4 linked regions of the Sus scrofa genome follow. The protein of the gene in region 1 purifies or fractionates together with the protein of each later gene. This does not show direct contact. Links are inferred from orthologs where the notes say so. Each region holds a gene or a part of one and is shown in the gene's direction. Other genes may lie near its edges.

Region 1 (7,646 bases):
GAGATATTTAGGTTGTCTCCAGTTTTGTTTTGTTTTTAATAATTACGGATAATATAGTTATCCCTACCTCTGAGTAATTAGATGAGATAGTTTTCTACTGAAAATAGAAACAATAATGAGAGTCTCATAACTTTATTTCCAGTGGTGATTATGGTGGATTTTTATTCAGGTGTATGTGTGTGTGTGCATGATATGTGGTGCAGTTAATTCATTCTAAAGTTTTTGTGTTTAATACAAATATGTGGGGAGTTTAGCTTTAATTTTCGTTGAAACCTTCCTTTATTTATTGGCTCTGCACATTTTTTTAAATGAACCATATTTGTTTGGTTTTTAATTTTTCATTTGTGCTGTTATCATTCATTAAGGAGAACTAAATTTCATTTTATACAGATTCCAAATAGTAATGTTTTTAAAAACAGTTTTAGGAAGTTTTCGCCATTTCTCTAACATATTGGTAGGAAAACCTTTATTCCCTACTTATAGGTCTCAGTAAAAATATACTTGGTGTTAATCATTAAATGACATCTTTTGTCCTTAGATTTGCAGGAAAGCATATCCAGAATCCATCGCACAATTGAACTAATGTACTCTGACAAATCTATGATACAGGTAAGTTGACTTTTGAGCTAGTAAGCATTATCATAATCATTTACATATTTTAATTTATCTTTGATATTTATCTTTTTTTTTTTTTTTTTTGGTCTTTTTTTGCTATTTCTTGGGCCGCTCCTGCGGCATATGGAGGTTCCCAGGCTAGGGGTCTAATCGGAGCTGTAGCCACTGGCCTACGCCAGAGCCACAGCAACGCGGGATCAGAGCCGTGTCTGCAACCTACCCCACAGCTCACAGCAACGCCGGATCCTTAACCCACTGAGCAAGGGCAGGGACCGAACCCGCAACCTCATGGTTCCTAGTTGGATTCGTTAACCACTGCACCACCACGGGAACTCCTGATGTTTATCTTAATTCTCTTATACATTTTGTTATGAAATTGCTGAACTTAAATATTTTGTATTAGTATTTTCCTCATTCAGTTGTATTCTCATACTGGATTTATTGCCGTTTTGTCTTTTTTTTTCTTCACAGCCATACCGTGGCATATGGAGGTTCCCAGGCTAGGGGATCGAATCAGAGCTGCAGCTGCCAGCCCATGTCACAGCAGTGCGGGATCCGAGCCACCTCTGCAGCCTATGCCATAGCTTATGGCAGCTCTGGATCCTTAACCCACTGAGCGAGGCCGGGGATTGAACTACATCCTCATGGATACTAGTCAGATTCATTTCTGCTGAGCCATGATAGGAACTCCCTCTTACCTACCTTTTTATTCTTTTATAATAAAATTTATCAAAAACTTCCAGAAGGCCTTAATATTTAAAAAAAAAATCCTATGGGAGAAATTATATGATTGCTAAGAATATGTTTTTTAAAAAAGGAAATAAAAGGAATTGCTGCTGTGGCGCATCTGGCATTAAGATTCTGGTGTTGTTTTTGTGGCATTGTGGGTTTGATCCCTGGCCTGGCACTAGCACAGTGGGTTAACGATTTGGCATTGCTACATAGGCGTAGGTCACAGCTGTAACTTGGATTTGAACTCTGGCCTGGGAACTTCCATGTACTGTAGGTATGGCCAAAAAAAAAAAAAAAGGAATATTAAGGTTATGGGAGAAAGTAAAAGGCTCAATTATATTTTAACATCTGAGGTACATTATAGAAGCCATTTTGCTGAACTCATCCATCAGTTTATAATTGTGAAGACTTAGACAATGTGCTGTATATTTCTTCACAATTCTTTGTTTGAAAGAAATAAATAGGTCAACAAAATACGTTTCCAAAGTTTTAAAAATCATCCTCTTTATACACTTGTCTGTTTTACATGTATTTAGTTTGCTTATCCTCCCCCCACCCCCGCCCTCATCTTCTATTTCATAGTTTAATTTTTTCAAAACTTTAATTCTAGCCAACTTACTCTTGTTAAAAAACATATATCCTTATAGAATCCTCCAGTCTGATGGTTTGTGACTTTCATGGAATGTGGCATAATAGATTACCTAACTGCAATTTAACTCTTCTGTTTTCACATCTAGGTTCCTTATCGTTTACATGCTGTTTTAGTTCATGAAGGCCAAGCTAATGCCGGGCACTACTGGGCATACATTTTTGATCATCGTGAAAACAGGTGGATGAAGTACAATGATATTGCTGTAACAAAATCATCATGGGAAGAGCTAGTGAGGGATTCCTTTGGTGGTTATAGAAATGCCAGTGCATACTGTTTAATGTATATAAATGATAAGCCGCAATTCTTAATACAAGGTAAGAATATAAAATATATAGGGTGGTATTTATTTTTAAATAAGTAGCCCTTTTGTGTGACTCTGGTCTCTGGTGTGATTAGTTGAGTGTAGTTTACTTAGAGTATGATGGATATGATTAGAAAATGCTCTTGGATTATTTTAAGTGAGAAAACTGGAATTGGAAAGTAATGTGATAATTACTTGAATGTAATATGTATTCAAAAACTTTTTAGTATCTATTATGAAATGTGAATATGACTTCTTTCTCCTTGTTAACATCCCTTTAATGACTCTATCAAACATTGGCTCATATTCACACTCTTTAGCCTAACATGTAAGGCCTCCACTTTCTGACCTCTGTCTCTCCAGCTTCGTTTATAACTATTGTCCATTTCAAACTGTATATACTGATATTTGAACTTCTTGCCATAGTTGGCTAATACCAAATAATTTCAAACATTTATATCTCTCTGCTTATATTTTTTTTTATTTATTTTTTTGCCAGTAATGATACTACTCTTTCTTCTTTTGCCTTATTCCTACTCATCTGTCAAGACTCAATTCAGTGTCATCTGCTCTGCCACGTTTTCCTTGACCTGCCAGAAAGTGCTCCTTCCTGTTTCTCATAGCGTACCTCTACTGGGCACTTACTTACTGTGTATTAGAATTGTGTGTTGACTTGTCTTTCCCACTTCACTCTGATCTGGTCAAAGCCAGGGACCATGTCATACTATGTCTTAATCTTTTTGTTTCTCATATTCTGGTACAGGCTTTGCATATAAAAAAACACTTAAAGGTTTGCTGAAACTGATAAAATCACCTTTCCTTTTGTATTTAGGCATTTAGCAAAACTGGCTAGGTAGTTCATTTACAACTGAAAGCTAAAATTTATTTTGTGTGTGTGTTTACTAGAGATTGAATAACCATTTTAAATACTACGATTGACTAGTTTTAAAATTGCACATAGGTGTATTGCTGTACTTAACTACTTCAGATGAAAAGAATTTTGGTTCTCTTTTGAGCTTAATGTTATTTTCATTTTGTTCTCATTTTGTGGTAAGTTTTACTTCATGAATAATCAAACATCTGTATTTTACCATAGAAAAAGTGCTATGTAAGTGTTTGAGTAGCAGACAGTTTTGGCTTTATGCCTTGTTCCATGTTTTACTCTTCAGATTAAAAATAAAAGCTGAATATTACCTCTAATGGATTATCAAATATTTGCAACACTGCTTTTCTGAGCTTTTGTTTGAGTTTTAGTTTAAAGGTAGTATTGATTTGCTAAATGGTAATAATTTGTACTTTAAATTTGAAATGCCTTCATTTTGAGCTTTACATTTTTCCTTTAATCCTTAATTTTATAATAGTTTTTGAAATATGATTTGCAGAGGAGTTTAATAAAGAAACTGGGCAGGCTCTTGTTGGAATAGAAACACTACCACCGGACTTAAGAGATTTTGTTGAGGAAGACAACCAACGATTTGAGAAAGAACTAGAAGAATGGGACGCACAGCTTGCCCAGAAAGCTTTGCAGGAAAAACTTTTAGCATCTCAGAAATTGAGAGAGTCAGAGTCTTCTATGACAACAGGTTAGTCCACATTTATTGCATTTTATTATCAGTATCATATTTACTACTTATATTTTATTATAAAAATAAGATATACTCATTGAAAATGTAAGAACAACAGAAAACTTTAGTTATCCTAAAGTATGAAGACTCCAGTGAAAATTATCTGAAATTCCATTTCTCAGCGATAACAAAAGGCAACAATTTAGTAGTTTACCCCTTTGCCAGATAACACTGTATATACATATACACTTTTTTCAAGTTAAATCATTCTGCTGACTCTCCCTCTACCCATCTTGCCTACTTTAATTGATTCTTCTTGGCAAGATGCTTAGAAAAGCTGTGAAACTAGTAAGTATAACCCAGACCAATTTACTAAAGCTATCAAGAGAACGAACTCTAATAATTTCATGTTTCAGCAAAATAACACTATCTGTATTAATAACGTGGAGTATTATAATAATTACTATTAGTGTAGAGTATTTGTTTTTTTTCCAAAATTCTTAAAAATAAAATTAACAGAAACTAAATATTTAACATATTCCAAGTAAAAATCTGTGTAGATCTATAGAACAAGTGAGAAGATTAATATATAAAAGTACAAATATTAAAAAATTTATAATTAGCTGATGAAATAAAAAATTATTAAGAATAACACTGCATAAAAGTAAAATATGTTCTAGCAAAATTGAAAATACAATGTCTAATAATTTTTTTAGGATTAATTTCAGCATCATTAAGTTGTGAATGTATTTTAGGGTGACATATTTTGTGCTGTAGAAAAGATGCTATTTCTCTTAATCATTGGGTAAATGAGAAGAGATAAACAGATATTTTCCTTAAACTCATTTGTCTCTCTCCTTTTTAATAACTGAGTAGATCATTTTGAACTACACTCTTTTGTAAGATCAGTGTGTTTTGCTTTTATTTTTTAAGAGAGCATTTTAGGTGTTTATTTAATTTCATCTTTTATAGACAGATTCCCATACAGCTTTACCTAGGTATGTTTCAACATCATCATCTGACCTTTAGAAGGAATTATTGATTCAGTGAGAGATTTATAAACCACAATATGGTATGGCGACTGAGGTAGACATGCACAGGTATTTCCAGACTTGTGACTTGTATTCATATGAATTGAATAGTTTATGCCTTGATTTTGACCTTAAGTGGCATTGATTCAGAATTTTTAAAAGATCAAGATAATGGCATTATGCCCGCATTTTGATATATAAATACCATTGTAATCTGCTGTGAGCTTGGCTGGAGGAGGACTACACTTTCTTCCCATATACATCAAAGGCCACTGTGTAGAGCAGGTGAAACTAGGTTCACAACAATGCAGTTTCGTTACAGTAACTTTATCCACATTAGGAGGAATAAAGTAGCTCACTAAATTTAAAGAAATTTCTGAGTTCCTTTCATTTTTGAGCCAACTCCACCTCTTTGTGATTCCATTCCACTTACCCTTCTCAAATTACTCCCTAGCACTTATCCCTAGAGAGAGCTACTGTATTATCATTCCCTTAACTTTTAAGGACTCTATTTATACATGGCTGTTCTTATTAACAGGAAGATGGGGCTGCATTATAGGCCTTAAGTAGTAGTGGTACCTAAGCTCTGAGACAGAGGAGAATCCTCCCGGCATTGGTTAAGCTCTGCTACTCTTCTTGGCTCACTAATAGTGTGCAGCATCAAAATATTTAATTCTATGTAGTCTCTTCATCTTCTCTGTTTCTCACAAGACTAAATTTACATACTTAACACATCTTATTTTTACTAAGTCAAACTAATACATATTCATATTCCCCACTAATGTTCCTGTCTGACAGGACCAGCCAGCTCTCCCGTCATTTACAGTTATCTTATATTCCCTCTATATGAAAAGGCCATGTTTGTAACCCCACACCCCTTTTTTCCTGATCAATACTGCCTATTTATGTACTTCATAGGCTGTTTTCTAAAGTCTAAAAAATTCAGTAGTAGGTATTAGACATATATTTTCATGTGTCTAATTTTAGTATTTAGAAAAAAAACTTGAAAAATAATACAGATATATTTCTGAGAGCCAGAATAAGTAAAAAAAAGAAAAGATTGAAAATGTCAGTTCATCAATAATTATCTTCCAGACATGGTGTTTAGAAAGCAGTGGTAATATTGCCTCAATAGGAAACACTGTGTCCGCTATAGAATTGCTAGAAATAAATGTACTTTGAGTTAGTAGAAAATACTTTGAGTTAGTAGAAATACTGTGTACTAAATCTGTTAATTTGGGGGGTGAGAGTATTGCTTAAAAGATTGAGGGTTTCCATTGAGGCTCAGTGGGTTGAGGACCTGATGTAGTCTCCATGAGGATTCAGGTTCGATCCCTGGCCTTGCTCAGTGGGTTAAGGATCCAGTGTTGCCAAAAGCTTTGGTATAGGTCACAGATGCAGCTCGGACCTAGTTTTGCTATGGCTGTGGTGTAGGCTGGCAGCTGCAGTTCTCATTCAACCCCTGGCCCAGGAACTTCCATATGCTATAGGTGTGGTCTTTAAAAAAAATGGTTGGTTTCTATTATCATATTCTCTTGCATATTATATTAAGAATCTAGGAGTTCCCATTGTGGCTCAGTGGTAATGAACCTGACTAGCATCCATGAAGACGTGGCTTTGATCCTTGGCCTCACTCAGTGGGTTAGGATCTGGCATTACCATGAGCTGTGGTGTAGGTCACAGACACAGTTTGGATACCATGTTGCTGTGGCTGTGGTGTAGGCCAGCAGATCCAGTTTGACCCCTAGCTTGAGAGTTTCCATATGCCTTGGGTTTGGCCTAAAAAGACAGAAAATAAATAAAGAAAAAAAGAAAGAAGGAAGGAAGGAAGAAAAGAAATCCATCTTCTGTTGCAGGGGAATATAACATAACCACAGTTGAATAAGGGAATCTATTTTAATGTTCATTGGAATCCTTTGTCTCCTGTCATTAGTAGAAAATTTTTGCTTTCATGCCCATGCCATCTTTTTCCTCTTTCTCCTCATAGTTTTCAAAGTAATCTCTTTTAATTTAGTGTAATACTTTCAGAATGTCAAAGAGAATCTGTATTTAAATCTTTCAGGTGTGCACTAGGGTTATGAGTGAGTGACTAGGAAATCTTGTTTATAAAATCCCTCATATGTGGAAAAAAAAAGAAAAGTAGGATCTCCTGCCATGGCACAGTGGGTAAGAATCTGACTGCAGTGGCTCTGGTCACTGTGGAGGCATGGGTTTGATCCCTGGCCTGATTCAGTAGGTTAAAGGATTCAGTGTTGCTGCAGCTGGGGTGTAGTTCCTGGCCTGGGAACTTCCATATACAATAGGTGTGGCCATTAAAAAAGAAGAAGAAAGGTCTATCATAGTGATTTTTCTTCCTTCCTTGCAAATTTTCTCAATAAAGCTATAACCTAAGAACCATTAAAATCTGATTTCTTGAGTCATATTCCAAATAAGAATATTAATTTATGTAATATTAATTAAATGAGTATTTGTCCCTCTTCTGCTGGCATGTGACCAAGAAATCCATAGGCATCACTCCTCTAGCACAATTCATTGTCTTAGTGAAGCTAAGTAATGATAGGAAAGTATTCTTTAGTCCATCTCATGCTACTACCACCCTGCCGCAAACCTACTTACTGTAAAACAAAATTCTCCTGAATACTTCTGTTTAGAGATTTTAGCCAAGGATTTCTTTACTGTGGGTGTATGCATCAGAATTACCTAGGAGACTTTTTCTGAGTGTAAGCAAGACATACCACCTAAGAATTACA
Region 2 (8,311 bases), on another chromosome or scaffold:
AAGACCATTGAAAATTGTTTGACATTTTTAGCAAGTTGGAAAAATGTTTATGCCTAAGAAATGAAAAAGGGGCTGGTTACGAACCAACGTGATCCCAATTACATAATGAAAAAGAAAAAGGCATATGCGTATGTAGATACAAAACGGGGGAAAAAAACACCACCATAAAGAATGGTTGTTTTAACTAGTGAATATATCAAAAAAGAAGCAGACTCACAGATATAGAGAACAAACAATGGCTATCAACGGGGAGAGGAAGGAGGAAGAGGCAATAGAGGGGTAGGGGGTTTAGAGGTACAAACTATAAGGTATAAAATAAGCCATAAGGATATATGGTACAGGAGTTCCCATTGTGGTTCAGTGGGTTAAGGACCTGATGAATCTGAAAATGCAGCTTCGATCCCTGGCCTCACTGAGTGAACTAAGGATTAGGTGTTGCCACAAGATGCACTGTAGGTCACAGACACAGCTTGGATCTCGCATTGCTGCGGCTGTGGTGGAGGTCTGCCGCTGCAGCTCTGATTCAACCCCTGGCCCAGGAACTTCCATACGCTACAGGTGCAGCTGTCAAAAAAATAAATAAAAAGGATATATGTTACAACATAGTATAACCAATATTTTACAATAACTGTAAGTGCAGTATTATGTTTAAAAATTGTGAATCACAATTGTACACCTGCAACTCTTTTTTTTTTTTTTTTTTTGCAACTCTTTTTTTGAGGGGGCAGTTTTGTGGTAGTTCCCAGGCCAGGGACTGAACCTGCACCACAGCAGCAATCCCAAGCGACAGCAGTACCAATGCTGGATCCTTAACTTACCGTGCCACAAGGAACTCCTATATACCCGTAACACATGCATTATACTGTATATCAATAATACTTCGATTAAACAGTTCTTCAATTTAAAAAAAAAAGAATGGTTGTTTTGAGATAGTGGAACTGTGGGCATTTTGCTTCTCTAACTACCTGTTTCCTGAATTCTCCACAGAAGGCACATGGCGAGGTGACAAGGCACTGTGAAAGGCCCCTGTGCTTTGGAGTCACATGGAGCTGGAGTGGCCCCTAACTCTGCCACGTACTGCAGGGAGGTATCGCAGAGCTGTTCTGCCTTATCTGTTAATCAGCTTAGAGGCTGACTGTGAGGACAGAAGGAGATACACACCAAGTACCTATCGAGGGCTGATGGAGCACACTGTCAGGAAGTCTACCTGACGTGTCATTTTTATAGACACAAAAGGTTTTCCTTTTTTAAACTCTTCAGCAGAGGCCCCCATCCGTACAGTGACTCTGGTTCTCTGGGTAGGGAATAATGGTCACCAGTGAGGAGTTTTTCCTATCCCTGGGTACACTAAGACTCACCAGTTCTGTCACTTGGGCTATGAACCTCTGGCTCTGTTTAGATTGGGTAACAGCTTCAAGCTCCTGAGACCTACAGACGAACTAGCCCAAGTCATACTCTTTCCTTAACACGGAGATAGTCCCTCACGGGGGGTGGGTTAGGGTGGGAGGACGGAAGAGGGAGCCTCTTCCCAAGAGAAAAACAGGAGGTTGTATGCAAACTATGACTACATAGCTGTAACACTATCTCCAAACATTCACTTCTCCCAGGGGGCCGGGCACGATAAGATCCCTTCTTCAAGGTTATCATCCCCTCAGCAACACTATATAGTGGTTTCTGTTTACACCTCATAATGGTCTATACTTTGCAGTTTTTTGAATTCTTTCTTATTCACCTCCTCTACTGACATAATGTCTATTACGGTGCAACAATCAAATAGAAACACATCAGAAGTATTTATCAAGTACTTACTCTGATAAATGTCCTGGAAGATCAAAGGAAAGGCTGTGTGTAGCAGAAAAAGCCTTGAATCAGATCAGGTAGCCCTTGGTTCTTTTAGTTCTGATTCTATGTCATTTGGCCAAGTTACCTATCCTCTCTAGGCCCCAGTTTCCTTATCTATAAATTGAGGATAATAATGGTACCTACCTCCTAGAGTTACTAAAAGGATTAGATGAAAATTTGCCCCTCTTGTATCTCGATTTAGTCATCCAGGACACTGTTATTAGAATTAAAAGGAAAATATTCATAAGGAGTATCTATCTGAAAGCAGATGGCATGTAAGTGAGCTTTATTGTATTGTCCTTAAGAACTTTACAATCCAGTTAGGGCGACAACGGTGAAAGATTAGGTAACAAGGGATTGGTGATAACCAAGATGGTCTGAAAAGCCAAAAGAAACATACTGAGTACCCACTGCCCTGTCAAGTCCTTTCTTTGTGATCTCCTGTAAGAAAGAACAACCCTTTGAGATCATTTACTATCTCCCACAGTCCAGGTTAGACCATTAGTAAGGGACAGAGTCAAGATTTTAATACTAAGACAGGACTCTTTTCTACTTCTACATTGCCATAAGACTGTTCAAAATCAGTCTCTGCTGGGTGAGGCCAACATGATAGAGAACCGTGAAAGAGCATGACACTTCAGCAGTATTGTCCAAAGGTGAAACACCATAAATACCAACTGCTGCCCAAGACCTAGAGAATTCTCCACTCATGGTGGAAACGACTGGCCAGCCAGGTTGAATGACCATAACCATCTGTTAAGAGTGGACCATGTATCAGACATCTATAGATATTTAACCACCTTCTGTTTTTCCAAAAGCTCTATCAGATCTCAAGAGTCTAATTTTCTTAAGAATAAGCAACAGGACTGTTAATAGTAATAGCTATCATTTATTGAAGGCTACAACCTATGTAGGTGCAGGCTATTTTTTTTTTTTTTTGGTCTTTTTTTGCTACTTCTTGGGCTGCTCCCACAGCATATGGAGGTTCCCAGGCCAGGGGTCTAATTGGAGCTGTAGACACCAGGGGATCCAAGCCGCATCTGCGGCCTACACCACAGCTCACAGCAACGCTGGATCATTAACCCACTGAGCAAGGGCAGGGATCGAACCTGCAACCTCATGGTTCCTAGTCGGATTCATTAACCACTTCGCCACACCGGGAACTCCCCTGCAGGCTATCTTCAATCCCACCTTCACACAGAGAAGGGACATGTCTTGCCAGAGCTCTCTAGGTCCCTGAATTTGAATCCACTCCTAACTCCAAAGGATCATTTATTTTAAGTGAAATACCGAAGACCCAGGGACCCCCTATTCACAGAAGGCAAAGAAAAGTCGAGAATGTAAGGCTGCCTGTGGGGCTAAGTTAGATCACTACCAAGTTTTTCTTTATTGATATCATTAACACCAGCTGCTTTTATTGAGAGCCGAGTGTCAGGCACAGTACTAAAATTTGAATTACACATCACCCTCTGTGGCACGAGCTCATTATTCCATTTTACAGAGTTGGAAAGTAAGGCTCAGAGAGGAGAGGGAATTTACCCAAGGTCAGAATAAGTAGGATTCAAACTCCGGTTTGGATGACTCCTGAGGCCCGGCGTCTTTTCTCAGCATCGACAACGACAATAACAAGTCTTTTCCACCCAGGATAAGTCCGATTATAAAGGCCTATTGTCCCAGAGGTAAAAAGGACTCGAAGAGACACCCTTGGAGCCCGAAAGCTAGCCCCCAGCACCTGCCCCTCCGACCAGGCAAAGCAGGGACTCGGGCCTCCGGGCCACCTCCCTCCAAGTCCCCGGCCCCAGCCCCCGGAGAACCCAAGACCCTGTCCCCACTCGCTACCCGCAGGCCATAGACCTTTATCCGCTCGAGGCCCCGGTGCTAGAGGTCGGGGCCGCAGTGACCACAGCTTCAGCCCCAAACTGCCGAGCTGTACCAGACCCGGGGCAGCGGCCGCGGCCAGACCGCCATCTTGCCCCGGGGTGTTCTCCATGAGAGTTCCGTCGGGAAACAGCTATTCGGTTCCGGGAAACGAAAGTTCCTTAGAGCTTCTGCGTTCGGGAAGGAAAACCTCCATACATCGTGTCCTCCTCTCTGTAAGCTGGCAAAACAGATGATTCAGGAGCAGGATAAATTCCTGACTCGTCCGAGAAGAGATGCAGCGTATTCGAACCGAGGAATTTGGAAGGAAGGAATCCTATATCTGGGGGTACACCGGATCCTTTAGGAAAGTGCCCTCTGCGGGGCGGAAGGAGGGTGCAGAGAGCGGAAGTTCCCGCCCCGGCCCCACCTCCGCCCCCGGCTCACGCGAACTGGGTGTTTCCTGTCTCTTTCAGTCCGGGTTTGGAGACTCCGGCGTCCTCCGACTTTTCATGGTAAGGAGGGCGGTGCCCATAGACTGGGGGCTCTAGGCAGCGGAGAGAGCAGGACAGAGGCGTAGTAGAGGGGGCAGAGACCTAGAGGAGGGGTGCGCTGAGGGGCAGCTGCGGTAGGGGAGAGGCGGTGGGAGCATTAGGATGCGGGGAGAGCCCGGGGTGGGGGAAGGGCTTTGGACGGAGAACTGTACGTGAGAAAATTGTGTGTGTGTGTAGGGGGGGTGTCCCTGGCTGTTGGGGATCCTGGAAAGGGCATCTGGGCTTGGGAATATATGCGCGGGTGAGTAGAGAGGGCAGTCTCTGAGTCTTAGGGCTGTTTGGAAATGGGAGTTGGTGATTAAAGAGAGAACAAAGAGATGTTATTGAAGACGGACATTTGGGGTGGAAAATGAGAATTTGGGGAGGGTTGTGAAGGAGAGATGGGTTGGTTATGAGAGGGTGAAGTGGGATCCTTAGGAGCGGAGCTTTGAGGGAGCTTTGGAAGTTGAGGTAGAAGGTAATGGTTTTCGGGGAAGTGGCTTCCAGGTACGTCTGAACCCCTGAACCAGTGGAGTGGAGGAAATAAATGGAGGGAGCCCACGGGCGAGTGTGCGCTGGGTCTTGGGAACTCCGCGGAGGATTGCCAGGGGTCTGAAGTCAGGGTCCCTTCGCCACGCAGTCCAGCCCCTTATCTGGCTCCTGGGTACCTATCTAGTCCTTTCCCTCAAGGTCCAAGGTGGTCACGCCTAAGGAGCTGGGGTGTCTCACAGTCCATCTCCTAGCTGTGGGGTGGTTTCTCTGTGCTTGAAAGCCATCAAGGGTCTGTTCCTCGAATAGCTTTTTCCCTGGGTGGGAATGACCAAAGTTCAACCCACATTCTCTTTTTACTTGTTTGTCCCATGGCTCCTCCCTGGAAAGTGCAGTCTTTAGGGCACACTAGTACCAAGGCCAATGCTGAAGAAAAAAAAAAAAAAAAAGATTCAACCTGTATTTGACTTAGGACGACAGTATTTTGTGCAAAATAAGTTCCACCTGAGGGGAAGGAAGCACAAAGCAGTTGTTCTCAAAGACCAGCAGCATCACCTGGGAACTTGGTAGAAAAGGCTAAGTTTTCAAGCCGTCCCGCAGACTTCTGGGGGTGGGGCCCAGCAGTCTGTTTCAGCAAAAGCTGTGCAGGGGTTGAGAGTAATGAGTTTTTTAATTTGGGCTATGTAATAGAGGGGCATGAGAGTGGGCATCGGAGGACCCTAATAGTTCTGATTCCTACTTTTCTTCCCCTAAAATGGGGTTGATGATAACATTTTCCTCACTAGACTGTTGAGAGGAATAGACCGATGGTTTGTGTGTTCAACACAAAAGAAAGAAATTGGGCAGAAGCCATTCTGTAAGTTTCAGATGCAAACCAATGCTACAGTTAACGTGCCTGATTGAATTTAGTTGAAATGGAACAGCAGACTTTTTTCTGAGTTGAAGAAGTGCCCTCAGTTTGGGAAAGTTTTATAATTGGCCTCAAGGCAGTGACTCTTGAATCTGGCTGATTAAAGAAACGCCTTAGCTTTGTGGCTCTCAGCTCTGGCCGCACATTAGAATCATCTGAAGAGCTTTTGAAACACTGGTTTCAGAGTTGCCACACCCTTCCCCAATCTGATGAATTGTTCTGGGGTGAAGCCTCGGCATCAGTACTTTCTAAGTGCACCCAGGTGAGTCCATTGCCACCTGGGCTGGGAACCTCTGGTCTTCAGGAGAGCTTGAGGGGCGGAAGGGAAACTATGCTAAATACTTCATTTATTCCTTGAGGGTTACTATGAAGCATATGGTTTTAACTGAATTTTACAAGTTTGGAAACTGATCCCCTATGAAGCCATTTGTCTGAACTTCACACAGACATGCAGTCCAGGTTTGCTAAATGCTCGTTCTAACCTTCCACACACACATCTCCCCCAACCCACACACCAGGGAGATAGTTAAATAGAGATGTAGAGGAAACCTCTAAGGGGGAGGGATTTGGTGCCTTTTTTCCTGTGGTCCTTGCCTGGGCCTCTTTTCAAGTCAAAGGTTTCCCACCTTGGGCTGATGGTTTATTTTTTAAGCATGTGTACAGTTGCTTCCTGTCTGTATGTGGCCTGAAGCTGTGAGTAGGGACCTGCTTTTGCTTTTGATGATTTGGTTTGTTTTTATGTGTGGTCAGAAATTCACTGGACCCACAGAACAAGAGGTTGAGGAGCTTCTCCAAGACCAGGAAGTTAAATGTAGCCTGACTGGAGTGGGGGCTACACAGAACTTTTAGAACAGTGGGTTGCGATATTGGCTGCACACTGGAATCACCTAGGGAGTTTAAATTTTAAAATTCTTTTGCTCAGGCTCTATGCCCAGACCAATTACATCAGAATGTCTATGGATAGGAGTTGCAGCCACGGCACAGTAGGTTAAAAGAATCCAACTGCAGCAGCTCAGATTGCTGGGGAGGTGCAGGTTCGATCCCTGGCCTAGCACAGTGGGTTAAAGGATCTGGCATTGTTGCAGTTGCGGCTCAGATTCAGTCCCTGACCTGGAAACTTTCGCATGCCGTGGGTTCGGCCATTTAAAAACAAAAACAAACAAACAAAAAAAGGAATTTCCATGGGTAGGGCCCAGAACCAGTATTTTTTCTTAAGTGGAGAACCACTGTTTAGAATCAGCAACAGTACTCTCAGAGGGGGAGAGAAGCCTGGACTTGTCCATCTAATTGGAATAAACTGATTGAATCAATCAGTAACCAATAGCTCAAGTATTAATTACCTCTGTTTCTTGGAACCAATTTTGCTCTCTGCCACCCCACCTCCCCAGCCTTGTTGATAGTGAACTCAAGCCTTTGAAACAAGTTAAAAAGCAAGATCCCAGTGGGGATGGCTGAGGAGTCCTCTGAAGAGAGATTTGCTGTGAGACGCTTATTGTCTATTGCTTTGTGTCGTCTGCTGCCTGTGACTGGCGTTTAGGGACGTGGACACAGCCAGAACCTTTTTGCCGAGGGCCTCTCATAGTGACTGACCTTTGGAAAGGTGGGTTCTAGAAAGGTTCAGAGCTTTCTTTGTCTATTTGGGAGTCTCAAGCTCTAGATCAGGATGGTTTCTGCCTGTATCTCCAAGTAATTCAGCTGAATGTCATTAGAGCTAGAAACATCTCCAGAGAGAGGATAATTTGAGACTTGAACAGCTTTCTCAGATGATCATAGTTGGAGTGCTTCGTGTTTGGTTTGAGCCAGGGGCCGGCTGAGACTCTCTGTGGCATCCTTCACCGCAGCCATGGGGGGAGGTGTGCCTGCTGTCCCTGCTTGCTCGATGGGCTAGTCTCAGAGAGATGACTCGTCCAGGCTCCCGCGGCTGGTGAGCGGCAGGGCTGGGGGCTTAAACTCAGTTCCAACTTCCAAACCCAAGCCCTCAGCCACACATGACCTCCCATCTTTTTCTGTCTTTCTTTCTTTTTTTAGCTTTTTTTTTTTTTTTTTTTTTTTTTTGGTACTTCCTGAAGAAGGGGGGTGTGGGGCTCCCTTTCTCAGTTTATATATCATAACTCTCCATACCAAGCATGATCATTGATACAGTCATGGGCTTGAGGCCAGGCAGGACTTGCCTACATCATTATTGCTTTGTCACCAAGCCACCTCCTCTGTCACCAGTATGCTTTGGGAAGTGACTGAATGTCTATGGGCTAAGGTATCGGAATCCACAGAATGGAAACAATGGCTGTTGTCCAACATCATTTAGGTTTTAAATGGTTGTACTTGGGGATAGAAACTGAAGCAGTGGTATCTTCTGGAGGGAGGAGTGGGAAAGGAGGGGCTCTCTGGATTGATGGAAATGTTCTCTATCTCCACTGGAGTGGGGGCTCCATAGATGCAAAAGTTGTCTGAAACTCATCTGTCTCTACACTTTATTGTGTGCTGATTATCTTTAAAAAGGTATTGGAAAGTAAAGTACAGTACATAAAATTATCCTTTATGATGTCTTTTTTGTCTGTTTCATGGTTAAGTGCCTTACAAAAATGCTACACCATTTCCCAAAAACATACTGACTTTTGTGTAAATTTAGATCTGAAAGGGGTGCTTTAAAGTATTTCCATTGGGGATAAATTTCCTTAAC
Region 3 (8,408 bases), on another chromosome or scaffold:
CTTAGTATACTTCAATCTGGATTCTGTAGAATTATCTCTGCCAAACCTGGCCTCATTTCCCCTGAATATAAGACACTGTCTTCTTCCCTGAAACATGAGCTCATCACCATTGTCTTCTGATTATCCTCCTACTGTGTTGCATTCTATTCTGCTGTTCTTTTCAGACTCCTTATTCTCTTCCCTACATTAAAATATGAAGGTCCCTAAGGTTCAGCTTTTGGTCTTCCTATTCTCTGTTCTTTTTCTAAAAGAGCTCATTACTTCCTGGGCATTCAGGGGCCAGGGTAACCCAGCTCCCAGGTTAACACATGTAGCCATTGCACTCTGTAAATTCTAGAACTGTACATCCAATGTCAAGTCTTAGAGTCTGCATCCTCCAGGTTCTGGGATCAGAAGCCACTTTTCTTTTGCCTATGGTGTTAGTATATAATGTAGTTGAAATTAATTAACTGATTTATCAATACTTTTATGTATCCTTCCAGCAAAAAGGTAAGTTTCAAGAGAGTTGGCACTTCATTTCCTTTCTTCACCTTTTTATATAATGAAGGCAGCCATAGAACCTGTGATATAGATATATAACTTGAATAAAATGAATGAATGAAGCAGTGCTATCCTTTAAAGTTGCAAAATTAGTCTTGATATTAATTTATTGAAAATAGGCAAATGTAAAAAGATGAAAATACAACTTTAAATAATAAATACTTTAAAAATATAAAGATTAGGGATTTCTTTCGTGGTCTAGTGGTTAAAGATCTGGCATTATTACTGCTATGGCTTGGTTTTCATCCCTGGCCTGGGAACTTCCACATGCCTAGAACGTGGCCAAAAAAATATGTATATATATATGTGTGTGTGTATATATGTATATATACACACACACATATTTATACACACACACACAGATATGTACATATAAAAATACACACATATAAAGATGAGTACCTTTGTGTAATTAGCACAAACACAAGCAAAATATTGAAATACAATAAATAGCATAAAATAATTAAGTTCATAAGTACACTAATAAGCTTATCTATGATAGTCTGGGCCCCCCTTATGAACTGGATGATTTAACTTATAGTTGTTTAATACTATCAGTAAACGTTTCCGATAAGTTTAATCCATTTATTTCATGATGGAAGCTGAAAAAAAAAACTGTCTTTTAAAATTACTAAACGAGTGGGAGTATGGTGGGTTGTATCTGTTTGTAATAATTGTTTCTTTAAGAGCATACATCTGGGAGTTCTCCTGTGGCTCAGCAGGTTAAGGATCTGGTGTTGTTAATGCAGAAGCTTGAGTCACTGCTGTGGCTTGAGTTTGGTCTCTGGCCAAGGAACATCCACATGCCATGGGCATGGCTGGAAAAAAAAAAAAAAAAAGCATATCTGTGGTTTCTTAGTTCTTAATCTTTCTTACAAGATTGATAATAAGAAGAAGGATTTCATGGTTTCTTACTTTGACAACTTCCCATGTACAGTAGCTTTATTTGTTCTTTCCCAGAGAGAAACTGATTCCTTGGAAGTACTTTTCCAAGTACATTATGGAGTCTTCACAGCTGTGGGGAGTCCTTCCATTCCCAACTCCTCCACCAAGCAGGTCTCCAGGACTTGCCCAAGCTGATAAATCCAGTAGAATTTCTCCAGGTCAATCCCATTTTAATTAACCTCTTATACTGAACAGTTTGAAGATTTGCTGACGCATTTGATGGAGAACAGTAGTGATCTGAGCCTTCTGGACCTTGCTGCCATCCACCAGAAACAAAAGAAAAACACTGGAACCAGCTAAATGTCCATCAGTAGGGGAATAATCAAATAATGGGAGAAATAAAATATTGCCTGCCAAATCAGTTAACAAAAGCTATTGACCCCAGATAGCTGAAGTGCATATCAAAGGAATGATTTCAGTGAGCCCAGACTCTTGCATCTTCCCATACATACAAAAGAACTAAATTCTTTAACTTGAGATATCTAGTTATTTTTAAAATTTTTTATTTGTTCATTTGTTTGTTTATCTTTTCTAGGGCCGCACCCGCGGCATATGGAGATTTCCAGGCTAGGGGTCTAATCGGAGCTGTAGCCACCAGCCTATGCCAAGAGCCACAGCAACACGGGATCCGAGCTGTGTCTGCAACCTACACCACAGCTCACAGCAACGCCAGATCCTTAACCCACTGAGCGAGGCCATGGGTCAAACCTGCAACCTCATGGTTCCTAGTTGGATTCATTAACCATTAAGCCACAATGGGAACTCCTTTTTTTTTTTTTTTTTTTTTTTAAATCAACAGTAATCTTTTGTTCTGATTGTGTGCCCTTTGTTGCACAACTCCTATATATCCAAGCTTGTCCCTTGCCTTCTTCACAACAGTTTTCTAAAGATTACTTGCAGTGTGGCCTCCCAGGCTTGAAGTCTTAAGAATATCTGCAGAATAAAACATAACTCTCAACTTTTAGGTTGTGCTTTTTTTTTTTTTTTTTAATTTGAAAAATATGTGACACACACTTATTGGGAAACAATACAACTATTTAAAAAGATAAAGAAGAGACTTCCCTGGTGGCTTAGCAGGTTAAGGATCTGGTACTGTCATTGCTGTGGCTGTGGTTACTTCAGTGGCAAGGGTTCCATCCCAGGCCTGGAAACTACTACATGCTGCTGGGGCAGCCAAGAAAAAACAAGATAAAGAAGCTCTCTTTATATGAATGAGAGTATCTCATTAAGTATAGAACAGTGAGTATGGTATGCTATCTTTTAAATAAAAATAGGGAGAGTGTAATATAAGACTATATAGTCATCAATTTGCATATGCATGAATAAAGTGAAAGGATTTAAAAGACAGTAATAACTTCAAACTGGAAAATTTTGGAAGCAGTGTGTCAAAGTATACATTTATTAATATGCTCAAATCTCAATTTCTAGTAATTTTAAAAATGTAAATTCATCAACTATCCTTCAATTTTTTAAAATGTTAAGTTAGTAAAATATCCATAAAGGGAAAGATCAGTAGAGGGGAAATGTGTACTCAAACACTGCTGATGATATTTTGGAAAAAAAAATTTTATATGTCTTCAATCATTATTCTGCTTTTTGGATTTATCCAAAAACAAACATAGTTTTGTGCCCAGATTCTATAAAACAGTGGAGGACAAGAAGGTATATATTTAGGAACAGGTGATGGGTAAAGTAAACCATAGTATGTGTAGTTATCTCACAACTGGATTATCTATTTAAAATTTTCTTTTTTTTGTCTTTTTGCTATTTCTTTGGGCCGCTCCCACGGCATATGGAGGTTCCCAGGCTAGGGGTCGAATCGGAGCTGTAGCCAATGGCCTACACCAGAGCCACAGCAACGCTGGATCCGAGCTGCGTCTGTAACCTACACCACAGCTCACGGCAATGCCGGATCATTAACCCACTGAGCAAGGGCAGGGACAGAACCCGCAACCTCATGGTTCCTAGTCGGATTCGTTAACCACTGCGCCACGACGGGAACTCCTATTTAAAATTTTCTGATTGGAAAACAAGAGCAGGAAAAATTTACTGATAATAGAATTCCATTGGGAGGCAAAAATTCAGACTGTTATTTACATAGCGTGGTCACAATTTGCTATTTAAAAAGAGGCACGTGACGTTTTAAATGATTTAAATCTGAAAATATGAACCAAGGCTATAATTAAAGTGTTCATTAATTGTGTGGGGTAAGAATCATAAAGATTTTTTTTATAGAGGAAGAACTTTAAGATCTTCCCCGTTTGCCACCATTTATCAGGTTTTCTTTCAGTTTCTACTAGAGCCGCATTTCATTGTTATGCAACAGGCAGAAGCCAGGAAGTGTAAATCCCAAAGTGTTCATTTAGGGGGAGCGTTCAGCTGCTTTGAAAGATTTATACCAAACACGATGAACGTGTACCCACTCCGGCTTCTTTAGCCGCTCTAAGTAAACCGAAGAAGCCCCGCCCCTGCCCACACAGCACAGCCCCCCACTTGCACAAAACCCGCCCTTCCAGTCCCCCTTGCCCTTCCTCTCATCCCCCACACTCCCGCCCACTGACAATGTCAGGCAGCCGCGCAGCCGCAGTATTTGCGACGGCCGCTCCTAGCCCGGGGCATCCTGGGACAAGGCCTTTCCGGAAGGAGCGGCTCCGCGTCCCGGGGCTCGGCCCGTTTCCCAGGCCCAGGCCGCTGTTCCAGGCCCCTGCTCAAAGACGGGTCCGTAGCCGTGGCGACGCACCAGGGTTAGTGGAGGGCGAAGCGGGCTGCTCGCTGAGGTGCCCGGCCTCGCCGCCGAGCGAGCCGTGGAACCGCAGGACGTGGCGGCACCTCCCCCCCCTTTGCCGGCAGCGGAACTGCAGGAGGAGCGGCAGCACAGGCCGGACGAGGTGAACCGGGTCACTTAACTGCTTTCAGGTGTTGAATCATCTACATAATAATCAGATTTGAGGTCCACAGCCCTTTGTGGTCCTGCTGCAGAACAATATTCAGTGTATGACTGGTGTGTTCTGAGAGGCGCCACGGCGATTGTTTGCCCTTGTTGATAAGGAACGCGAGCTCTCTTGCTCTTGGGACATCCTCGGTTCCTTTAAAGCTTGCAGGTCGTAACCTCCTTGTCCGGCATACATCTTTGTGCAACAGGAAGGCTTTCACATGAAAGTGTCTCTTGGTAACGGTGAAATGGGCGTCTCTGCCCATTTACAGCCTTGCAAGGCAGGAACCACACGGTTTTTTACCAGCAATACTCACAGTTCGGTGGTATTGCAAGGCTTTGATCAGCTTAGAATAGAAGGATTGCTTTGTGATGTGACTCTGGTACCAGGTGATGGAGATGAAATCTTCCCTGTTCATCGAGCTATGATGGCGTCTGCTAGTGATTATTTCAAGGCTATGTTCACAGGTGGAATGAAAGAACAAGATTTAATGTGCATTAAGCTTCACGGTGTGAACAAAGTTGGTCTGAAGAAAATAATTGATTTTATTTATACTGCAAAACTTTCTCTTAATATGGACAATCTTCAGGACACACTTGAAGCTGCCAGCTTTTTGCAAATTCTACCTGTTTTGGACTTCTGTAAAGTGTTTCTTATTTCAGGAGTCTCTTTAGATAACTGTGTTGAGGTTGGACGAATTGCTAACACCTACAATCTTATAGAAGTAGATAAATATGTCAATAATTTCATCCTGAAGAATTTTCCTGCATTATTGAGTACTGGGGAGTTTCTAAAACTCCCTTTTGAACGGCTTGCCTTTGTGCTTTCCAGCAACAGTCTTAAGCACTGTACTGAACTTGAGCTTTTCAAGGCTGCGTGTCGCTGGCTAAGGTTGGAAGACCCTCGGATGGATTATGCTGCAAAATTAATGAAGAACATTCGATTTCCACTGATGACACCACAGGATCTCATCAATTATGTGCAGACAGTAGATTTCATGAGAACAGACAATACTTGTGTGAATTTGCTTTTGGAAGCTAGCAATTACCAAATGATGCCATATATGCAGCCAGTGATGCAGTCAGATAGAACTGCCATTAGATCTGACTCTACCCACTTGGTTACATTAGGAGGAGTTTTGAGGCAGCAGCTGGTTGTCAGTAAAGAATTACGGATGTATGATGAAAGAGCTCAAGAGTGGAGGTCTTTAGCCCCCATGGATGCTCCTCGTTACCAGCATGGCATTGCTGTCATTGGAAACTTTCTTTATGTTGTTGGTGGTCAAAGTAATTATGATACAAAAGGAAAAACTGCTGTTGATACAGTTTTCAGATTTGATCCCCGGTATAATAAATGGATGCAGGTTGCATCATTAAATGAAAAGCGCACATTTTTCCACTTAAGTGCTCTGAAAGGGCATTTGTATGCTGTTGGTGGGCGAAGTGCAGCTGGTGAACTGGCCACAGTAGAATGTTACAATCCAAGAATGAATGAGTGGAGCTATGTTGCAAAAATGAATGAACCCCACTATGGCCATGCTGGAACAGTATATGGAGGCTTAATGTATATTTCAGGAGGAATTACTCATGACACTTTCCAAAACGAGCTCATGTGTTTTGACCCTGATACGGACAAATGGACACAGAAGGCTCCAATGACTACAGTCAGAGGTCTGCACTGCATGTGTACAGTTGGAGATAAGCTCTATGTCATTGGTGGCAATCACTTCAGAGGAACAAGTGATTATGATGATGTTCTAAGCTGTGAATACTATTCACCAACCCTTGACCAGTGGACACCAATTGCTGCCATGTTAAGAGGCCAGAGTGATGTTGGAGTTGCCGTCTTTGAAAATAAAATCTATGTTGTAGGTGGATATTCTTGGAATAATCGTTGTATGGTGGAAATTGTCCAAAAATACGACCCAGAAAAGGATGAGTGGCATAAAGTTTTTGATCTTCCAGAATCACTTGGTGGCATTCGAGCTTGTACTCTCACAGTTTTTCCACCTGAAGAAAACCCTGGATCACCTTCTAGAGAATCACCTCTATCAGCACCTTCAGATCATTCTTAGGACCAAGCTGTAATACTTTTGCAGTGCATCATGGATGATCCCATACTTCCACTTCAGTTGTATCTTCTTACAGTGATTGGTACAGTTATTAGATTAAAGAGGTAATTGATGTAATTTGTATTGTTTGGCTTAGTATGTTTATCAAATGGTTAACAATGCATTTTAAAAATGTATTCAACATAGCTGTTTTAGCAAATGTAAAAAGATAAGTAGAACAGTGTTTGTTAGATGTCTTTTTGTGGTGTTGTGTAAGTCAAAGTTTAGGTGATGGTAGTAAGTGTATATAATTATGTTTATTATGCTTCAAAGATGCTAAGTTTTCATCTTTTATGTCAAAACATCAAAGGGAGGCTGCTTGCCCTAATCTAAAATAATAAGCAGAAAACGTCTCCAAGTCTTAATAGCTACCTCCCTTTTTTCATGGAGTTTTTGACAGCTGCCAACTCCCCAGATTGTGTAGGTACATTCAGAATACGTGGAGAAGAGTCCCTCTCATAGCTCAGTGGTTAACAAACCTGACTAGCATCCATGAGGGTGCAGGTTTGATCCTTGGCCTTGTTCAGTGGGTCAAGGATCCAGCATTGCTGTGAGCTGTGGTGTAGGTCGCAGATGCAGCTCGGATCCCAAGTTGCTGTGGCTGTGGTGTAGGCCGGTGGCTACAGCTCCAATTCATCCCCTAGCCTGGGAGCTTCCATGTGCTGCAGGTGCAGCCCTAAAAATTCAAAAAAGACAAAAGTATATGTGGAGATTATTAGTAGACTGGAGAAATAATAAATTCAAAAATATTTACTCAAAAAAATATTATAACCCTAAATCAGGGTTTCATATCTCTTTCTAGGGAGAGGGAGAGAAAAAAAATACATGTGCATACATGCACATGCATACACTTATATAATTTTAAATTCGATTGGTACTTCAGTTATAGTGCAGTTGTTTTTAAATTTAAATTCTTTTCTTCTACCCAGCAGCTATTTTTATTCAAATGGGAATTCAGTACTAGAGAATAAATGTCTATATGTAGTCTTAATGAATTGATATAAATAAGGGATACAACATTAAATTGACCACCAAATTTGTCATTTGACTGAATTGTTACTACAGATGAAACTTGTATTATTTTTGCTGTTTGTATATTGTCTTCTGTAGAGTTGCATATATACAGGTTATTCAGCAAAGTTCAGGTCTCAGAGAATTGCTTTTGCTCAGTAAATTTAGGCCCTGCTACTTTCCACCTTTTTGTTCAGTAAAACTTATGATATGAAAAAGGCAAAGATATATGTTGAATAAAGCTATATAGGATTTTAACTTCAGTCTCCCAACTTAGTCTTTCTAACATGACTATCTAATTTGAAGTGATTGCCCTGTGCTGCTCCAGCCCTTGTGCATCCTGAGCTTTGTGTGATCTGCCTCAAGGCTATGTGCTGTTTTGTATCCAATCAGAAAGATGTTTTGGCTATGTCTAAAGCACAGGACCAATTTCAGATTCCTCAAGGAGGCAGCTATAGAAAGTCTAGGCAGCCTTTTCAATACCAAGCACATCCCTACTGGTCGAGAACCACATGAGGAGATCTAATGGGAACTTATCAGCAAATGGAATCACAGCAGTCCTCGAAAGTGAGTGATTCTGAAAAGGTACTTTCCTGGAATAATTGTCTACCTGAAGAAAAAATTATATATGTACATTTACATGCATATATATTTGTATTCCTATACTAGGAGATTGTCATTGTGTAAATCAGGAACAACCTTCTCTTTATTGACAATCTCATAATAAAACTCAGGAACCAGGACAAAAAGGAATTGGTTTCAAGGGATCTGAACCATACTGCCCGTACAGGTGTTGATTCATTTTAATGTTTTTATGATTTCTGCATTGGCAGAAAATTTCACACTTCCTGTTTCTTAATGACTCAATT
Region 4 (8,136 bases), on another chromosome or scaffold:
TTTGAGGTGTCAGTAGGGACATGTAGTGGAATCATATTGCTGGCGTATGAAACTGAGATTCAGAGGAGTGGCCTGGGCTAGAGGGAGATATTTGGAAGTTAATAGGTCATGGTTGAAAGCAGGTATATAGGTAAATAAATTCACCAGGAAGTCATAGACCTGGGATACACAGCTCTTACGGGCACAGTAGTGAAAGAAGAGACACTTGGAGGTAAAGGAGAATGGGAGAGGAGGCTGTCACAGAGACTAAGGGAGTCGAGTTTCAAGAAGGGGGTGTTCAAGAGCGTCACAGGCTGCGGAGAGTTCCAGGAAGGTCGGGATAGAACAGTGCATCTTGGGTATTCCAGTTAAGAGATTACTGATGACCTTGGTAAGAGTGGTTTTCGTGGAGCGGTGGGCTGATAGCAAGGCTTCCGTGGATCCCCGAGTGAATTAGAGGTTAGAAAGAGAAGGCCAGAGGTTTAGATAATCTTATGAAAAGTTTGAATAAAAACTGGAAAAGGGATTAGAAAGTATGTGTGAAGCACAAGGTTGAAAAACTGGCCCTAAACTGCATACTGTCAACCTTGGGTAAGGTGATGTGGGCTCAGTCCAACAAATCGAAAGGCTTTGAAAACCTTTGGGGAGGGGTAGACTCAACTCTTGGGAGTTGGAGTCTGCTGCTTGTTAGCCTCCCGGTGAGTCCTTTTGTTCCTGAATGAACTGTATGGTTTGCTCTAATTTGTTGTCAATTCAGTATACATGTCAGCAAGTCATCACTAACGTGCATCATCCTAAATGATATTTGGGTTGAAAAATAAAGTGATGGGGGAAATTGGTGGGGGCAATTGTTGGAGGAAAGGCTGACTAGGAAAATGATAGTTACGGAGTGACCGTTAAGTGTCAGACATGCACAGCGTCCTTCACGTGTTTTATGTTATTTCATTGCATCCTCATAACCATCCTCCTAGGGGTATGGTTATCCCCATTTTCTTTCTTTCCTTCCTTCTTTTTAGGAGGGCATATGGAAGTTCCCAGGCTACGGGCTGAATTGGAGCTGCAGCTGCCGGACTACACCACAGCCACAGCAACACCAGATCTGAGCTACATCTGCAGCCTGCACCAGAGCTTGTGGCAGCGCTGGATCCTCAACCCACTGAGTGGGGCCAGGGATGGAACCCACATCCTCGTGGATACTAGTCGGGTTCGTTACCACTGAGCCACAGCAGGAGCTCCAGTTTTCCCCGTTTCCTGAATGAGGAGATTGAGAATCCATAGTCTTTTCTCTCCTTATCATATTATCCTAGGTTCTGCCACTGATGGCTGTGAGCCTTGACAAGTTTTTCAGTTTCCTTATTTGTAAAAAACCATGGTTATGATGCTTAAGTCCTTTCCAGGTCTAGGGTTCCAGGAATCTGTAAATAGTTACTAGTAGTGTTGCTATTTGGGCACAAAAAAAAAAAGCTATTCAGGGAATTTCCCCCTCTTGGGGAATTAATAGCTTAATAGTAACACTGTCAGATTGTCCAGACTAAATAATTTATTTTCCCATCACACAGTGAGTACCCATTATGTATGTGGCCTTAGAAGGCTACTGTAAAATAAATCAAGTAAATAGGCTTGGTGACAGGTTCTCCATCAGTTGTTACTAGCCCTGGGCACATGGGCAAATAGCTACCTGCAAGACCGTGTGATGCTTTTCAAGTGTGGTATAGGTTAAGTGCTAAGTATTTTTATTAATTTAGGAAGTACTTTGGCATGTGGCCTTTAAAAATTACATTATTATGTTATCATAAATCTTGATTAAGGTAACAAAACATATTTACTATGGCCAGCTTCACAGCTGGGGTGCAATATTTTATAGTGTGTATAATGAGCTGCTAGATGATGGTGATTCTCTGTTCACATCTAAAAAATGAATTGGGAAATTAATTAGAAGCTTTAAAAGTCTCTTTAATTGTGAAAATTAATTTCAAGGAGCACTACCATGTACACACTGAGTATTTAAATAATTGAGGAGGAGGAGGGAAAAAGGTAATTATCAGTCTTTCAAACCTTAAGTCCATTTGGGAAAAAGATTGGAACAAAAATGTAGTGCTAATGTGATTTTCAAAGACAACCTTTACAGCATGATGCATAAAGAAACAAAATTAGCAAGTAATAATCTTTCTTTTTTAAATGATTTTATTTTTCCCATCACAGCTGGTTTACAGTGTTCTTTCAGTTTTCTACTGTACAGCAAGGTGACCTAGTCACACATAATAAGCTTTTAAGATTAAATATTCTCTGAGTTTGGAGCCAGTGTGTTCTAGGTACGCTGATCCTGGCCAGCAGAGGTTATGGCTATGGACTTTGCCTTCCAAGTGTTTTCTGAAAATTTATAGGGGCAATGTTGCTTTCTAATTTGGTTGAGATGCAAATTATTTTATTAAAATTATTTTTTAAAGAAAGGAGTTCCTGTTGCGGCTCAGTGGGTTAAGAACCTGACATTATGTCTGTGAGGATGCAGGTTAGATCCCTAGCCTCTCAGGAAGTTAAGGGTCTTTGGCTTGGAAAATTCCACATGCCTCTGGCATGGCATCCCCCGCCCTCCCCCCCCCCCAAAAAAAGAGGCCTGGGAAGCCATTGGAAGTATTTAAGTGGGGGTGAGGGTCAGGGAGGGAGGGGTTCAGGGAGAGTTCATAATCAGATTTACACTTTGACATTCAGTCTGGCTGCTGGTAGAGGACAGTTTGGAGTGAAAACGGGGAAGGAAATGGGTGAGAATGGTCCAAGTGAGAGACAAGGGTGGTAACATAGAAGCTTGATTTGAGAGCTTGTTTAGGAAATAACATGAAAAGACTTGCAGGTGAATTAGGTATGGAAGGTAAGGTTGAAGCAGGGCATTCTGATTTCCATAATTGGGCTCCCTGAGCTGGGGAACATTGTAGGAGGGCAGGGTTTAGTGGCAGAGAGGGTGTAGAGAGTGTGAAGTGAGTTTGGAAGTACCTTTGTACTTGAGAGGAACCAAATAGAGACACAAAGTAGGCAGTGGGATATGGGGGTCTGGAATTCAGAACAGAGATCTGTTCATATCTGTATGGCCCTTTTTGGTTAATTTTGACTTGAATATGCTAGAAACTGTATTAGATTCTGGGAGGGTAAAGATGGTAAGACATTGATTATTTGTTGAGTGATTTCATGTTATTGCCCTATTGGAAGCTTACTTACCAACAAGACAAGTCAGTAACAGGGTCACAAGACATTGTTAATGGGGGCAGTGATGGCGGAAACAGAAGCTGATCCCAGGGTGTATGAGAGGGGCCCCTGACGTAGATGGGCAACATCAGGGAAGGCTCTTGCTGAAGGGTGTGAAGTCTGTTCCGAGCCTTGAAAGAGGAGGCAGATTTAACTAGACATGGGGAATATAAGAGGTTCCAGCAGTAAAAGCCTTGGTCATGTGAGAAAACAGTGGCATCTCAGAAGAACCAACGCATCTCTGGCTCTCCCTATCGGGGAAAGGGCATCCAGGCTAAGGTTCTTGGAACTGTTACAGGAGTGGCCGTATTTCCACATCCTCTGACATACATAATTGGATGGAGTGAGAGTGTCCTGCAAATACCCCCATGCTGCCACTGAGTAGTGAGGCTGTCCGTGTGGGTGTGTCTCCGGAAGAGAAATGGAGAGTTCTCTCTGGACTGTCTGTACCCTCCCTCCATCCTTTTTTTTTTTTGGTCTTTTGTCCTTTTAGGGCCTCACCTGCGGCATATGGAGGTTCCCAGGCTAGGGGTCTAATGGACGCTGTAGCTGCCAGCCTACACCACAGCCACAGCAACGCTGGATCCTTAACCCACTGAGCGAGGCTAGGGATCGAACGTGAAACCTCACGGTTCCTAGTTGGATTAGCTTCCTCTGTGCCAAGATGGGAACTCCACTCCATCTTTTTTCTACCAACTCATGTCTTGTCCTTGTCTTCGTCAGGTACTCATAGTGAATAATGATAGTAGTATAGTAGTAGTAGCAGTGATGGTAGCGGTTAATATTTATTGGGCATTTATTATGTACCAGGCACCATAGTTTACTTTACCCCATTTGATTCTACCATCAGTCCTCTAAGGTAGCATTTTAGTATCACCACACTTTACAAAAGAGAAAAGGGTTAGGTAAGGTGTCTGTAGGATCAGGCCACTCAAGATGGCTGTTTTCTTGCTCTGTCTCCATCCCTTGCTCTAGGAGGGCCTGCTTCACTTCACCCTACTCACAAGGCTGACCTTACCACATACTGGCCCCAGACCCCAGTTAGTGATTGTTCTTAAAACAAAGGGGCTGTGAGGGACGTGCCCCTTCTTGGTTTCTCTGGTAACTAACGAGCCAATCTGAGGTAACTTCCCCTATAACTGGCAAGCTCCTCCTCCCCTCGGGAGGAAAACCTGCGGCCTTGTCTTGCCCGACACCCACCACGCCTGGTGGGGGTGTCTCTCCAGGGCCTTGCATCAGGCATGTAAGATCGCCGGTCCATAAGCCACTGATGTCTCTGTTGCTGACTCCACCTCTGTTCTTCTGTCTTAAAGCTGGGCAGGTGCAGGTCTTAAAGGCCTTCGGGATGCAGCGCAACAGTGTCAAGGGTTATGTAATTGTCTGTGGTGATACCAAGACTTAGTGTGACTTTGAACGCTCTTTGCTGCCTTTCCTAAGACAACCTATGAGCAGTGCTGTACAATAGAAATGTAATGTGAGCTACAAATGCAAGAAGCCATGTTTGCAATTCAGAATTTTTTATTAGCCGTGATAAAAGAAAAACAGGTAAGATTAACTGGAAATATTTTTATTAAGCCCAATATATCTAAAATATCATTTGGAGTTCCCTGGTGGCCTAGCAGTTAGGAATCCCACATTGTCACTGCTGTGTCTTGGGTGCTAAAGGTGGCACGGGTCTGTTCCCCGGCCAGGGATATTCCGCATGCCATGGGTGTGGCCAAAAAGAAAAAAATTACTGTTTCCACATCTCAATGTGAAAAAATAAATGAGATATTTAGCAAGCCTTTGAAATACAAGGTTTTTTTACAGCACATGTCAATTTGGAGTAGTCATGTTTTAAGAGCTCAGTGGCCACATGTGATGCTTGGCTACCATTGTGGCCAGTGCAGCTCCAAAGGGGCAGGAGAGTGACTGAAGATTCTGACTGTTCTGCTTAGTGAGCCAGAGAGAGAAAAAAACCTGCTGAAAATCTGCAGATGAGGGAAATTGAAGAAGGCAGAGTGGGAATTCCTGGGTCTGATCCAGTGAGCAGGGGCGAGTGGAGAAGAATTTTCTCTTTGGCCCTGAAGCTGAGGGAGGTGTTTTTTTCTTCCCACACTGAGACTCAGCATTTTGCCTTAATATTACCGATCATGGTTAGTTTCCATAGTGGGCCAGTCTTGAAGCGCTTCCAGGAATAAATAGGCATTTGTGGCTGGCCACCAGATACTGCAATGGTGTTTCTGTGGAAAAGACTGAAGAATGCTAAGGCTTATAAATTACTCGGTGTTGGAATGTCATCTTTTGTTAATTATGGAGGAGGTAAGATTGGAGAGAAAACTGTAGTGATCTAGTGATGGTTTGCTGTGAGATCAGTCACAGCTGTTAACAGCCCAAGGAAAGGATAATTAGCTTTTTAAGTTTCTGTGGGTGGGTAATGCTCATCACCTGCTACTTTCTTCACCCCGTAGTTAAACTCACAGTAAGCCTTCACCCAAATGTTTGTTGAGTTGCTTATTAGCTGAGAAAGCTACCTAGAACTGAGCTGTTTGAATCATTTCTTTCATGAACTTCTATTCTTTTTTTTAGGGCTGCAGGTGCAGCACATGGAAGTTCCCAGGCTAGGGGTTGAATTGGAGGTGTAGCTGCTGGCCTACACCACAGCCACATTTAACACAGGATCTGAGCCGCATATGCGACTCACACCACAGCTCAGGGCAGTGCCAGGTTTTTAACATACTGAGCAGGGTCAGCGATTGAACCTGCATCGTCATGGACACTAATCAGATTCGTTTCCACTGAGCCACAACAGGAACTCCTGAACTTCTATTCTTAAATGCTTTCTTCCCCTGGGTCCTTCCCCTTAGAAAAAGCAGCACAGGCTATCCTAACAAGTTAAAAACATAGGAGTGTAGAGATAATGAACAGCCATATCCTTCCTCTGTTCTGAAAATTAGATCTTTGCATTGTCGAAAAGCACATCAACAGGATGTGCGAATGGAGAAAAAGGATAGCAAGGTATCAAAGATTTTTACCAGAATGTTGACTCTTAGGATTGTACTGTTGTTAACATATGTTTACATTCCTGAAGTATCTGTAGAATTTACAGTTGGAAAAAATAGTAAATCACTAGAGACTTAGCAAGAGTACACCAAGAAAAGTGCTGCATAGTAAAGTGGTTTTATAAGTTGAAAAATATTTGAAGCATATGAGAAACATCATAGAAAGTATGATATAGAAGTATAACCTTGACTACTAAAGTGGAAATTAGGAAACCAAATACGTGTTGAATATTGGGAGGAGGGAGAACTTCCTAATGAAAATATCTGGTTGTAAATAGTTTAGAGACTTTTAAGATGAGCACATTTTATTTATTTATTTTTTTGTGGGGGTGGGGGTGTGCCTGTGGCATGTGGAAGTTCCCAGGCCAGGAAGTTCCCGGGCCAGGGATTGAACCCAGGCAACAGCAGTGGTAAGGACTGATCCTTAACCCACTGGACCACCAGGGAACTCCTGAGCACATGTGTTTTTATAATCAGTTGCTGAGAGTGACATGGAGTCCCACCTTTGTGTCCCCAGCCTATCCTTGGATCATTTTATTTCAATGTAATATTTATTTATTGAATGCTATCCTTTTGGGACACAAGAGAGATCTTGTTGCTCCTCTCCAGGAATTTGTGTTTTGGCTCATTTTTAGATAACTATTAAAAATCTTTTATGTACTAAAAATCTATTCCCATCAATATTTGCTCATTTCTCAGATTTCTTTTCAGGAAAGTATAGCAAGTCCAAGATCATCTATATCAGTGTTTTCATCCTTTTATTTGGGGAAAAAAAAAAAAGAGGCTTCTTTTGATAAATATTTCATTAAATATTTCATCACCTTTTAAACTTCTCAAAATTTTTTGAAATATCATTTATATAAAAGATAAATCCTTGTTTTAAAGCAGAAACTTCAGAAGTACCTTGAGTTTAAACATAAACCTTCCCATTCACTCCTTTATGTCGTCCGCTCACTTCCACCTCCTCCTTGGGGTTACTGCTGTTAACAGTTAGTGTGTGGCCTTGCAGTCTTCTTTTCTAGGTATCTATTTACTTAATTCAGTAGATGTTTAAGTAACGTAAGTATATACACACATTTACATATATTTATATTTACATAATTGAACTGAGGCCTGCTCTCTTCACTTACTGTGTTTTGGAGCTCAGGTCAGAACATTCAGATCTATTCCATTCCTATTAATGCCTGGGTTACATGGATACATTGTAATTTATTTGCCACTTACATATTGATGGTTTTTTTTTTTTTTTTTTTTAGGGCCCTACCCACAGTATATGAAAGTTCCAAGGCTATGGGTGGAATTGGAGCCACAGCTCCTGGCCTACGCCACAGCCACAGCAACGCTGGATCCGAGCCATGTCTGTAACCTACACCACAGCTCAGAGCCATGCTGGATCTTTAACCCACTGAGCCAGGCCAGGGGATGAACCCGAAACCTCATGGTTACTAGTCAGATTCATTTCCACAGCACCACAACAGGAGCTCCTATTGATGGATATTTAGTTGCCCCCCCACCCCCGCCAACTTTTTATTGTTACAGGCAATACTGAATCAATAGTTCTAGAAGCACAATAGCTGGGTTATAGGAAATGTGTATTTAAAAATTTGACAGATTATGGAGTTACATTGTGGGAACAAACCCGCTAGCATCCATGAGGATGTGGGTTTGATTCCTGGCCTTGATCAGTGGGTTAAGGATCTGGCATTGTCATGAGGTGTGGTATAGGTCGTAGACACGACTTGGATCTGGTGTGGTGGTGGCTGTGGTGTAGGCTGGCAGCTGCAGCTCTGATTTGACCCCTAGCCTGGGAACTTCCATATGCCGTGTTTGGCCCTAATAAGACAAAAAATTTCCTACATAGATGATTTAGTTGTAGAGC

What was found. Proteins that work in one complex are often made in the same cells at the same time.
Region 2: the proteins of USP25 (region 1) and KCTD10 purify together in Homo sapiens (affinity purification with mass spectrometry; 4 studies listed by BioGRID and IntAct, counting the BioPlex papers as one, with this or other methods). This does not show direct contact. The link is inferred for Sus scrofa from reciprocal best matches to the Homo sapiens genes USP25 and KCTD10.
Region 3: the proteins of USP25 (region 1) and KLHL9 purify together in Homo sapiens (affinity purification with mass spectrometry; 3 studies listed by BioGRID and IntAct, with this or other methods). This does not show direct contact. The link is inferred for Sus scrofa from reciprocal best matches to the Homo sapiens genes USP25 and KLHL9.
Region 4: the proteins of USP25 (region 1) and BTBD9 purify together in Homo sapiens (affinity purification with mass spectrometry; 3 studies listed by BioGRID and IntAct, counting the BioPlex papers as one, with this or other methods). This does not show direct contact. The link is inferred for Sus scrofa from reciprocal best matches to the Homo sapiens genes USP25 and BTBD9.

The regions. Positions count from the first base shown.
Region 1 is NC_010455.5:180,663,342-180,670,987, forward strand, and holds part of USP25 (ubiquitin carboxyl-terminal hydrolase 25), read left to right. Parts: intron 1-538; coding exon 539-609; intron 610-2,084; coding exon 2,085-2,313; intron 2,314-3,682; coding exon 3,683-3,883; intron 3,884-7,646. UniProt on the Homo sapiens protein: Deubiquitinating enzyme that hydrolyzes ubiquitin moieties conjugated to substrates and thus, functions in various biological processes including inflammation and immune response.
Region 2 is NC_010456.5:41,438,648-41,446,958, forward strand, and holds the start of KCTD10 (BTB/POZ domain-containing adapter for CUL3-mediated RhoA degradation protein 3), read left to right. Parts: upstream 1-3,980; 5' UTR 3,981-3,995; coding exon 3,996-4,214; intron 4,215-8,311. UniProt on the Homo sapiens protein: Substrate-specific adapter of a BCR (BTB-CUL3-RBX1) E3 ubiquitin-protein ligase complex. The BCR(BACURD3) E3 ubiquitin ligase complex mediates the ubiquitination of target proteins, leading to their degradation by the proteasome.
Region 3 is NC_010443.5:201,587,500-201,595,907, reverse strand, and holds the start of KLHL9 (kelch-like protein 9), read left to right. Parts: upstream 1-4,077; 5' UTR 4,078-4,638; coding exon 4,639-6,492; 3' UTR 6,493-8,408.
Region 4 is NC_010449.5:34,101,738-34,109,873, reverse strand, and holds the start of BTBD9 (BTB/POZ domain-containing protein 9), read left to right. Parts: upstream 1-3,805; 5' UTR 3,806-4,701; coding exon 4,702-4,761; intron 4,762-8,136.